Linked DNA regions of Caenorhabditis elegans. The protein of the gene in region 1 interacts with the protein of each later gene in a pairwise test. Each region holds a gene or a part of one and is shown in the gene's direction. Other genes may lie near its edges.

Evidence for each region.
Region 2: the proteins of hif-1 (region 1) and kin-4 interact in a two-hybrid assay, tested with the Caenorhabditis elegans proteins (one large-scale study listed by BioGRID).
Region 3: the proteins of hif-1 (region 1) and nhr-114 interact in a two-hybrid assay, tested with the Caenorhabditis elegans proteins (one large-scale study listed by BioGRID).

Annotation. Positions count from the first base shown.
Region 1 is NC_003283.11:20,778,267-20,782,022, forward strand, and holds the start of hif-1 (Hypoxia-inducible factor 1), read left to right. Parts: upstream 1-2,140; 5' UTR 2,141-2,235; coding exon 2,236-2,255; intron 2,256-3,048; coding exon 3,049-3,239; intron 3,240-3,365; coding exon 3,366-3,520; intron 3,521-3,565; coding exon 3,566-3,756.
Region 2 is NC_003282.8:11,423,947-11,427,702, forward strand, and holds the start of kin-4 (non-specific serine/threonine protein kinase), read left to right. Parts: upstream 1-1,795; coding exon 1,796-1,854; intron 1,855-2,187; exon of another isoform or gene 2,188-2,208; intron 2,209-3,756. Other genes in the region: F22B3.8 (Tyrosine-protein kinase), read right to left, coding at 1-187, 335-558, 606-751, 934-939.
Region 3 is NC_003283.11:4,185,088-4,188,843, forward strand, and holds the start of nhr-114 (Nuclear hormone receptor 114), read left to right. Parts: upstream 1-2,115; 5' UTR 2,116-2,121; coding exon 2,122-2,305; intron 2,306-2,519; coding exon 2,520-2,722; intron 2,723-2,920; coding exon 2,921-3,259; intron 3,260-3,314; coding exon 3,315-3,445; intron 3,446-3,521; coding exon 3,522-3,643; intron 3,644-3,695; coding exon 3,696-3,756. UniProt on the Caenorhabditis elegans protein: Probable transcription factor which may have a role in detoxifying dietary metabolites arising from bacterial tryptophan metabolism.

The DNA of each region.
Region 1 (3,756 bases):
TTTTCTTACCCATCATCCCAATTTCATTTACCGCACCGCCCTTCTCTAAACCACGTGTTCCCTCTCTATGTCGATCTCTGCGTCTCCCTCGTTTATACTACCCTCTAGTGTCTCTCTGTACTCTTGACCATCATCGCGATGTACGCGCGCGTCGGAATTCTGTCGCGACAGCACTACTGACGTTGTCCTCTCTTTAGTTCTCTCACTCTCTCATCTCTTTGGACTCTCTCCAAATCGCACACTATTCAATATGTCTGCCTGCTTGTCTCGTGTCTCCGTGGTTTATGTACTTACTGGGTCAAGAGAGTGTGTTAGATGAGAGGTCTTTTTTTTGGTTTTTCTTCACCTCTCTCAATTTTCAGAGAAAACTCTACTTCTCTAATTCATTTTTTGATCAACGAAGAAATGTTTGGATGCCCATCTTTGGTTTGTAGGCACCGCCCACTAGCTGCTCAGTTTTTCTCTAATGAGAGATTTCAGATTTTCAGAAAATCTATTAATTCTTATAGTTCAAAGGTAACGCTAATAGGTTTGATTTCATTGATCTGTATTTTAAATTTTTATTTAACTCCAATGTCAAAACATAGCTCCTGAACCACATATCGGAAAAAGTTGATCCTTTCCATTATAAAGATATGGACTAAACTCAATTTTCGCTAAATTTAATCAATTATCAGTCACTCTACTTCTCTGTACTCTAGCTTTCCCCCAATTTTTTGTCTAACATTCTGTCAATCGACAGTCTCTGAGAAGTCGTTTTGCCCACTGTCGTTCAATTTCTTGTCTTATCAACATCTTTCTTCTTACATTTTGTCGTCGCCTCCCGCTTGTTGATGATGACTATCTGTTTCCCTCGTTTCATATGACTATTGATTTTATTTAATGTTCCAATAACTTTCGACAATTCTTTATTATATTTTGAGGATTTATATTAATTGTGCACTCTCTTGATGTATCGATATTTTCAATTTCTCGATTAAGCTAAAAAGTGTGATATGAGATGTAAGGACTAGCTTTATTAGACTCAAAACTGTCTGAAAACACCAAATTTCTTAATGAAACTTTTTGAAAACTTCTCAAAAAAATTATGGTGGCTCAAAAAGGACCTAAAATCAGTTAAATTTTAAAATTTGAGCAACTCTCAGCGGCTGAAAACTTATTTTTTTGTCATATTTTGGGCCGCCATAGTTTTTTTGTGTCCTTTTCAAAAATTTAATTAGAAAATTCGGTGTTTTCAGACAATTTTGAGTGTAATAGAGTAATTAAAAATTCGACTACACCGCCTTTAAGTCCAAAGATTGATTGAATCCCGATCTTAACTATTTTATTTGAAATTCACTTGATAATAAGGATAAACTAAAATCACTACACAAACTACCCTTTCTGAACTTGAGTATAGTTATCTTCAAAAACATTATTGTTTACGCTCGGTGAAAACACTACATTCTAGTGATTCCCCTGTTCTTTGACTTACTTCAACTACAATTTTTTCAAAGATTGATCGTAGTTCATTCATAGTTTGATGTTAGTCACCCCCTCAATCTTGCCCCATTCATACCATTGACGTAACATCAATATCCAGATTTATATTTTTGAATCGGGAAAATTTTGCTTTTAATCTTTTTGTGTGCCCTTTTCTCCTTCACTGGCTTATCACATGATTCTTGTAATCAGTTTGTATTCACTCAATATAAAGAAATTGACAATTTTTCTTGAATTGAATTCAGCGAAATTTCCAGTCTACCTAAGTTCTTGTTTTTAGATTTGGGTTTTAAATTGAGCATTTGATCTCTATGATTTGTTTTCTGCAACATTCTTATGATACTTGCCTAACAAATAGTCAATTGTCCATGAAATTGTTACAAATCTTGACGTCCTCTGGGACCCCGTCCAAACAACTGTCACTAACATATCCAATCGATCGTTTTGTGCACCCTTGGTATTTATGATGTTTCAATTTGTCTCACTACACTCTACCCTAGTGCTATAAATCATAACTAAACTTGATTTTTTATTCAAAAGTGTTAACATTCGAAAATCTAACAACCCCTTATGTTCTCAATGATAATTTTAAGAACATTTGATACAATTTTTCTAATTCCCTCTACCCGATTCTATTCAATTTAAAATTGTCATACATTTTCAGCCCACCTGAAAGTTGCCCGTCATTACGGGGAAGTTGCCCCAATCACACCAACCTCAGCTTCACTGAAGCTGCACCTATTCACTATCAAGATGGAAGACAATCGGAAAAGGTAGAGTTAGAATTCTGTTAGAATCGAAATTCATTCTTAAACATTCCATGATTGGATGCCTGAAAACGCTAGAAGTACCGTAGTCCTTTGGGTTTGCTCCATGCTCTGCTCGCAAATGAGAGAGAGGGAGCATTGGCAGAGGTAGATGTATTGAAAATGCGCATTTCCGAATCGAATATCAAATGTGAATCATCTATATAAAATATATCTCGCTCTTTTTAGACACAACTCATTTTTAATCGGAGATGTTAGATAAAGTAAATTATGAAAATAAATTGTGAAATAATTGTGATTGAAGGTGGAGTAGCGCCAGTGGCAGTTTTGCCTAAAAAATACACTTACAATGGCTCGAAACAACCAAAAATCATAATAAAACACTTAAAAATTTTTTAGATTTTTCATAATTTCCGGTCAAAGTTTTGGCAAATGGCCAAAATTTTTACAAACATAAGTATTTGAGGAATGCCGCATGTTCCGATCCCTACTATGCTTCCAAAATTATGAGTGGCAAAAATTGAGTGATTATCATCTAACGGACGGTAAATAAACAATTTCAAAAAATTTTTGACAATTTTTAATTTGATATTCGGTCATTTTAGTACCATTGGATTAGTTTTCAACACTTTCTCCACTGGCTCCTCCTACTCCACCTTTGAAAAAATAAATTTTCCCAGTTATACTTAAAACTAAATTAAATCGAAAAACCTCATGAGAAGTGTACTTATATAGGTATATAATTTTTTGAAATTCACCAATTTTGGGGTGACAAGAAATTCAAAATCAAACTTTTTAGAAACATGGAACGCCGTCGTGAAACATCGAGACACGCGGCTCGTGATCGTCGGTCTAAAGAATCGGATATATTTGATGATCTGAAAATGTGTGTGCCTATTGTTGAAGAAGGTACCGTAACTCATCTAGACCGTATTGCACTTCTTCGTGTTGCCGCCACAATTTGTCGACTGCGCAAGACAGCCGGTAATGGTAAGTGACATCGAATAAAGAAATAGTTGATTCAACATCAAAAATCACTTGAAAATCGTGTTTTATGCTGAGAAAATCGACCAAAAATCACTGCCAATTTTTCTCAAATTAATATTTTTCTTTCAGTATTGGAAAACAATTTGGACAATGAAATCACAAATGAGGTATGGACTGAAGACACCATCGCCGAATGCTTGGACGGCTTTGTTATGATTGTTGACAGTGATTCTTCAATTCTTTACGTCACTGAAAGTGTTGCAATGTATTTAGGATTAACACAGGTGAGCAATAGAAAACTTGCTTCTTTAACATCGATATATTTTCAGACAGATTTAACAGGTCGAGCCCTTCGAGACTTTCTTCATCCATCCGACTATGACGAGTTTGACAAGCAATCAAAAATGCTGCACAAGCCACGTGGCGAGGACACAGACACCACCGGCATCAACATGGTGCTTCGAATGAAGACAGTCATCAGCCCACGTGGAAGATGTCTGAATTTGAAGAGTGCTTTGTA
Region 2 (3,756 bases), on another chromosome or scaffold:
TAGCAAATCGGGTTGACCTTATAGTAGTTGATAAGCTCATCAATAGTCGGAAACTTGAATCGCCGCTCAATATAAAACGAGGTCCATTTGCCGGCGGTTTCTTCAATAAACAAATGCATATCCATGTTCTCTTTCTTCACATCCTCCAGATCCCCATAGAAACTTCGTGTGGTGCCGGTTTTTTGTGCTGAATAGGGAACATAATTGTAAAATCTAGAGTTTTTCAACGAACAGTGAGGGCAAGTTCCCCGCAACAGCTTGACAACTTATGAGAAGTTCATTGAATAAGTTTCCAAGCTGCTAGGAAGTTAAAAAAACAAAAAATAAAACAAACTGATATTGACGGACAGAACAAGAATGACACGAGTCAGTGGAATCGGATCAGTGGCACTTTTGTCCGGAGTCGTCGGCTTCTTCGCATTCTTCTCTGGTTGATGCGACAATCTCAGGAGAAAGTCTCCGTTCGTCTTCAACAAGATCAGTTGTAGCTCTTGGAGCACAAAACCATGGAAAAATTGGTATCTCAATAAATAATTGTCAATCATTTCATTAGTTACTCTGGAAATTAAAAAGTGTTTTGGGATATTTGGGATAAAGTTGCTCACCTTCCAACGCTTTTAGTTTTTTCTACATTTTGATACATTGAGTCGTCCGGAAAATTGATCATAACTGAGTTTGAAATACTGCTGCCATCTGTTGTCCTTTCAGTCTTTTCGGTCGTTTCACTCTTACATTCTTTTTTCTCAGATTTCTGAAAATTGAAAATTACATTTTACTATACCAGGAATACCGAATTTGTCTTTTTTTTAAATAATCATACTACAGGCGACCCATTGCAGGAAACTTATTCTAGAATTTCTGATGTCTTATTTTATTTTCAGGTAGACGCGTAGCCAGGTACAGGCAGGCTCGAACTCCCGCACTCCAACTCACCTTCATTGCAAAAATTTTACGACGATTTTGAGTAAAATTATATTGGGAAATAAATAAGTTTGCCTCGTCGTATTTGTTTTTTTTTTCAATTTTTTTCACGGGAGTTTATGTATTTAAACATACAGACAGTGATACAACTCAAATTCAGAAAACTTCCAGGAATCAAACTTCATCTGAAGGATTAACGGTTAAACCAAATTTTCCTGACAACAAAGTGCAAAGTCACTGCTCGACAGTTAGGAACAACTTCCTACTCCTGCCATAATTTAGCATCTTCCTATCAAACCTTTCATCAGCGGCAAGCAGGCAGGCGAGCACGTCTGAAAAATTCATGTCTACTATCGAACCCCTTAGAAAATATATTCATTTTTTGCAATTCACAGGATGTCAAAATATTGAAAATTGTTGCTTATAGAGTGGAAAAAAGGAGATTATTATAATAGCTGGTCTCAAATGTCAACGGCAGAAGTATTTAACTAGATTAATATTTTCAAGTTTCATGTTTTCGGATATGTCACCATTCACCATACACTTTACCATTATCTAAATCTAGAAATGTTACAGTAATCCATGAGCACACAAAATCAGAAAACGAAGAGCAACCTTGTGATGAGCTGGAAAAAGGGGATTAGTAGAGGTGAATGTTGAGAACAGGAAAGAAAGAGAGAGTGAGAGGATCAGAAATACTTTCAATTTATTTATAATTTTATTCACATCACAAATCTCTCTCCACTCAACTGCCCATAGTGATTGATAAGCTCCGGCGTTTCGCCTACTCAACGTTTCCCTCCAAAAACTCCAATCTAACTTTTTATTTTTGTTTCTAGCCAATCTTTTTTTTTTTCTATAGTTTCAGAATCAAATGCTCAATTTTGGAGTCGTTATGTATCAAAAGAAGAGCCCAAGTAATGCAACAGAAAAGTGAGTTCTGAGTGTATCTTACCAAACCGAAAAAAGTAAAAATGCAACCTATAAAACAAGATATTATCTCTCTCATTGCAATAGAAATCTCCCCCTAAAAAAAATCTCTTTGCACATGTCTCTGTCAGTTCTTTTTATGTTTTGCGTGCATAGAATTGCCGATTGTCGGATGATTTTCTTCTTCGTTCGATGAAAGCGGAAATAATAGAGAACAGCGTTTTATTGTGGTTTTTTGTTTTTTCGTGTCAAAGTTTCTGTAAAAGTCATGATGGTAGAATTTGTTCTAACTGTTTTATTCTTTTATTTTTAACTTTCAATTTAATTATAAATCAATTGCATATTATTGTCCATGTAATTAAGCTTTTAAGTTATCAAGAATAAGTTGAAAATTTTATTTGCAAATATTTTTTATGTCGAATTTCGATGCAGATAATGTTTTTTTTTTCCAAAACCGCTAAAATTATTTCAATATTCTTTATTTTTTTTCTATAGTTAAAGAAAAATTTTTTTAGAAAATTAACAAAAAAACTAAAAAATTACCAAAAGTTGTTCATTTTGATGAGAAAAAACATGAAATGTTTTCTCTGAAAAAAAAGGAAAATGGTCAAAATGTTAATATATTTTTGCAAAAATCGAATTGTTTTCGAAATATCTGAAAAACTAAAATTTTTCGGAAACGGTTTTTCTATAATACGCTTTGTATGCCAGGATACATTAAATAGAGAAAAATTGAGACAAAGTCCAATTACTGAAAGTGTAACATTTTTCTTTAAATTATGATCTAGGATAGTTTGTTAATGAAGCGATATTGCTTCTTGTATGCATACCTATGTATGTATGTCATTTCCGAAGTATTATAATATGTATCCTAATCAAGAACATGGATCATAAACATCTTTATTTTTATTATTTTATCTTTATTTTTCAACTCGATGTAAATTAAAAATCTTCACTAGTAGCCAGTAGCTCGACTTTGCAAATGCGTTCGTTTTAGATTTCGTCTTGTTTCCGATTGGCCCGGTTATTACGTAAGCACCTAAATTTTAATGTTATTGCATCTCATCACTACTTAAAAATGAGTCAAGTTTTTGAAATAGAAATACGAGCTTCATTGTGAAGATCACGATATTCTTTTTATTCGAATAAATCTGGTTGCATAGCTGTAGTACGTCAACGGACGAACCTGGATGAAATAGTGAATAAATATATTTTCTATAAAAAGGAGAAAATAAAAGAAATGTTATAGTTGACAGTTAATCCTTTGCATGGTGAATCTGTTGGCGGATGCCAGTTAATCTCCCTGTTTATCCGTATGCTCATATTTTTAAGTCGTCTTCAGTCGTTGTCGTTCTAAAAAATTTGGCCATCGATTGGCTCAGCTTCGTCTTTTTTGCCTCCTTTCACTTCTTCTTTTCTTGTCCGATTTCAGAAAAATTAAGATAATAAATTGCTTCAAATTTTGAAGTGCAATACACTTTCGCAGTCTAAATGCCTCTTGTTTTCTAAAAGTTATGCCAATTATTTATTCTTTAAAAATATTGGACTTACTGCCATGGAAGTCATATAGTTTCGCTACAAAAGTAGTACCTGTTCTGTGGTTTGGGTATTTTTCGAATTAAAATTTTTCCAAACTCAACTTTTTTGTGCAATTCTAAATGTATTTTTATGAGTATTCTTTTTTCTCCCTCTCCTATGTACATCCGCCAGCAGATGCTTGTTGAATTCTTATCGAAAGCTCTTTATCAGAACTTATTTTGAAAAAAATGTCAAGCATTCTCCGAGCATAGGTTTAAAATATTTCTGAAACACAGGTACATTTAACCAATCTCTCAGTTGAAAAGGTTACAATTTTCAGTATCAAATAAAAAAGTATAACACAATAATCTTTTGCACTTGACTCGC
Region 3 (3,756 bases), about 17 Mb from region 1:
ACATATTTTGGTCGAAACTTTCATTTTGGATATGAAATTTTGTTTTAAAAAGTTGCACGTGGGGTCAGAAAGTCCCATTTCGCTTTGATCTACAAAAAATGCGGGAGGTGAGACGCAGACATCTCAACTGATTTCGCATGGTTAAGAGTGTGCTGACGTCACAATTTTTCTGGGAAAAAAATCGCGCATTTTTTGTAGATCAAACCGCAATGAGACTTTCTGACACTACGTGAAGTTGGATTTTTGCAATCTTCCGCGATTTTTTTTTCATTTTGTTTGTGATTTTTTAAAGAAATTTAGGACAATTTTGGATTTTTGCAAAAAGTCGCTTTGAAGTCTGAATAAAAGCATTTTCGGCGTATCCTGCGCGCATGGGTCTCGCCACGCTGACATCGAAAAAAAAAATTCTGAGAATGCTGCGTATTGTGCAACACATTTGCCGCGCAAAATATCTCGCAGCGAAAAAGAAAACTACAGTAATCGTTTAAATGGCTACTGTAGTGCTTTTGTGTCGATTTACGGGAGATCGATTCTTTAATTAAATTCTTCTTTTCAAATATTACCGGTACAGAGAGTGTAGATAGTTGAATGGACACAGACATTCCGGAACCCAAGGGGCGGGGCGCGGGAAGAGACGATTTTTGTCGATTTACGGAGTGTTTTTATTCACAAACTCTCCGTAAATCCATACAAATCGGCTCTTCCCGCAACCTTGGGTTCCGGAATATCTGTGTCCATTCAACTTTCCTCATTCTCTGGACCGGCAATATTCGAAAAGAAGAATTCATTTCAAAAATCGAGCTCGTAAATCGACACAGAAGCACTACAGAAGTCATTTAAACGATTACTGTAGTCTTCTTTTTCGCTACGAGATGTTTTGCGCGTCAAATATGTTATGCAATACGCATTCTCAGAATTTTTTGTACAAATATTGATGTTTTTATTTTAATCATAAGATGGTTAAATTTACCAACAACTAATTCTTAAATTGATTAGCACTTATCAGTGTCTTATCAGCAATCAAATGACCAAAACATCTAATAGGACGAATTTTCGCCTATTTCTCAGCAACTAACAATGCAACTTTCTCATTCTTCATGTCTCCTGTATCATAGACAAATTGATTAGCTCACGTAGTGCCAGACGGTCCCATTACGGTTTGATCTACAAAAAATGCGGAAATTTTCGCCCAAAAAAATGTGTGACGTCAGTACGTTTTTAACCATCCGAAAACAGTTGAGAACTCTGCGTTTCTTCTCACCCGCATTTTTTGTAGATCAACGTAGATCAATCCAAAATGAGACACTCTGCCACCACGTGTAGCTTCTTCTTCTGCTGCTGCTGCTACAGTCTGTGTGTACAAAAGTCTTCTCACATAGTAGGTAGGTGCAGACTTCTTTCTTTATCAAATCTTCCCTTCTTCAACATTACATGGCGTGGTTTTCTCGTGGCATTTTCCAAGAGAGGCTCCACCCCCCCCCCCCCCCCCATCGCATGTACTTTGTTCATTGGTCAAGAAGAATCGTATATAACGGGCAGCGATAACGTCCCAAATCTTTGTCGTATGACGACGGGGACGATCGGAAATTGAGAGGAGGAGGGGGTAGTGTGAAAAATACATGAGGACGCGATGAAGCTGCTGGTCAGCAGCAGGCCCCAAGCCACTGTGTTTTATTGCAAGACAGTTCGATCTTCACGTTGATATCAGACATATATAGAATATACATCTCAAGGTCTTCTATTCTCATTTCTTAGGCAGCCTGTTAATATGTTGATAATGAACAATCATTTGACCGCCCGTTTTTCCGAGTCACTTCATCAAGGACTTGATTTCTTTCCAAAAAAACTTCCAAAACCACCCAGCAAATCATTGTTTCAAAAAAAGTTTGCTCAAATGATTAGAAATCAAAAGTTCAAATGTTTTTTTGCAACAGCTGTCCCTAGCCTGTCTCACATCACAGTTCAATTGTTGTAGTTTACCTCTCCTCTTCTCCTTCATTTTATCTCTAAAACGCATCGATTCGGGGGCACTTTGCATTTGTTATCGTGTCTAGTGTCTCTTGGCATTATTCTCGTTGTCACAAAAAAAACCAATACAAACAAGGCGTATTTCAGGTCAAAATGACACCTCAATCGTCTCCGAGCTCGTCTCGTGATCACGTTTGTCTCGTTTGTCAAGATTTCGCTTCTGGCTACCATTATGGTGTCCCGTCATGTGTCGGATGCAAGACATTTTTCCGGCGAACAATTATGAAGAAACAAAAGTACATTTGCCAATTCGAGGGCAATTGTCCAGTTGATAAAAGTGAGTTATTTAGCACACTTGGTGTCAGGCTGTCCCATTTCGGTTTGATCTACAAGAAATGCGGGGATTTTTCGCCCAAAAAATGTGACGTCAGCACGTTCTTAACCATGCGGAATCAGTTCCGCAATTCTCGTAGATCAAAACGAAATGGGACACTCTGACACCACTTGTTAGCAGTAACAAGGAACTTATAAAAAATATTTCAAAAGTTCAGCTATCCGCTGTGCCTGCCGATACTGCCGATTCGAGAAATGTTTGAGCGTGGGAATGGACCGAAACGCCCTCCAACAAAACCGTGACCCTATCGGATACACAAAACGTACCAGGCGTCCAAAAAAAGAGCTGAAGACTACCTCGGACTGTTCAAGTGACGAAGGAGCAAGCACCCCACCATCAGTGTCTCCATTACAGCTATCGGTAATTAATTAGTCCAATTACGGTTTGATCTACAAAAAATGCGAGAATTTTTTTGCCCAAAAAATGTGTGACGTCAGCACGTTCTCAACCATGCAAAATCAGTTGAGAACTCTGCGTCTCTTTTCCCGCATTTTCTATAGATCTACGTAGATCAAGCCGAAATGAGAAACTCTGACACCACGTGATCCCAAATTACAGCCTCCACCAATCTCGCCACTCCTTTTCCAAGCTGCACCACTGAAACCTCGTCGCTGCATCCTACAAACTCTTGCCGAACGCGAAAAGTGTGCAAATGATCTCCGACTCTCCGAATATCTTCCAATCCGATCTCTCCACGAGGCTCTATGCTCAAAGGCTCTGCTGAACGACACGGCTTTTTTGGAAAAGTGGGGACAGCCGAGTGAGAGACATCAGATCTTCGATCTACGATTCGTCAATCACGACGACTACCACTATTGGCACGAGAGAGACTGGTTCTTGTTGACAGAGTATGCCAAAACATTCGATGTTTTTGAGGCGCTCGATTATCAAGATAAGGTTGGAAGAAAACCAGAAACATGTATAACGATTTAATTATTTCAATCCTTTCCAGGCCGAACTTGTTCGCCATGCCGCAATAACAGTCCCAGTCCTGGTTCAAGTCTGGAACTCCCCGGACTACGGACCAGACACAATTGTATTCCCAGATGGTGCCTACTTCGATCGTACTCCAGAGCCAACCCGGTAAGTTGTCGGTCACATATACTCCAAACCGAGCCCCAATTCCCGTCTCGTTCCGCGTTGTGTTCAATCGTTATAGGCCAGCCGGACTCAACAGGAAAAAGTATCAAATGTTGGATCTCGTGCTCAAGCCGTTCCGTGATCTACAGCTCGACGCAACCGAATTTGCAGCGTTCAAAGCGGTAACGTTTCTGAATCCAGGTCCGGGCGGAATCTCAATAAGAGCCAAACTTTCACTTTGATGCGATTCCAGACGCTGACATCTCTCTACCGGCTCGCAAGCTTGTGAACAACGAACGAGTCCGCATCACCAA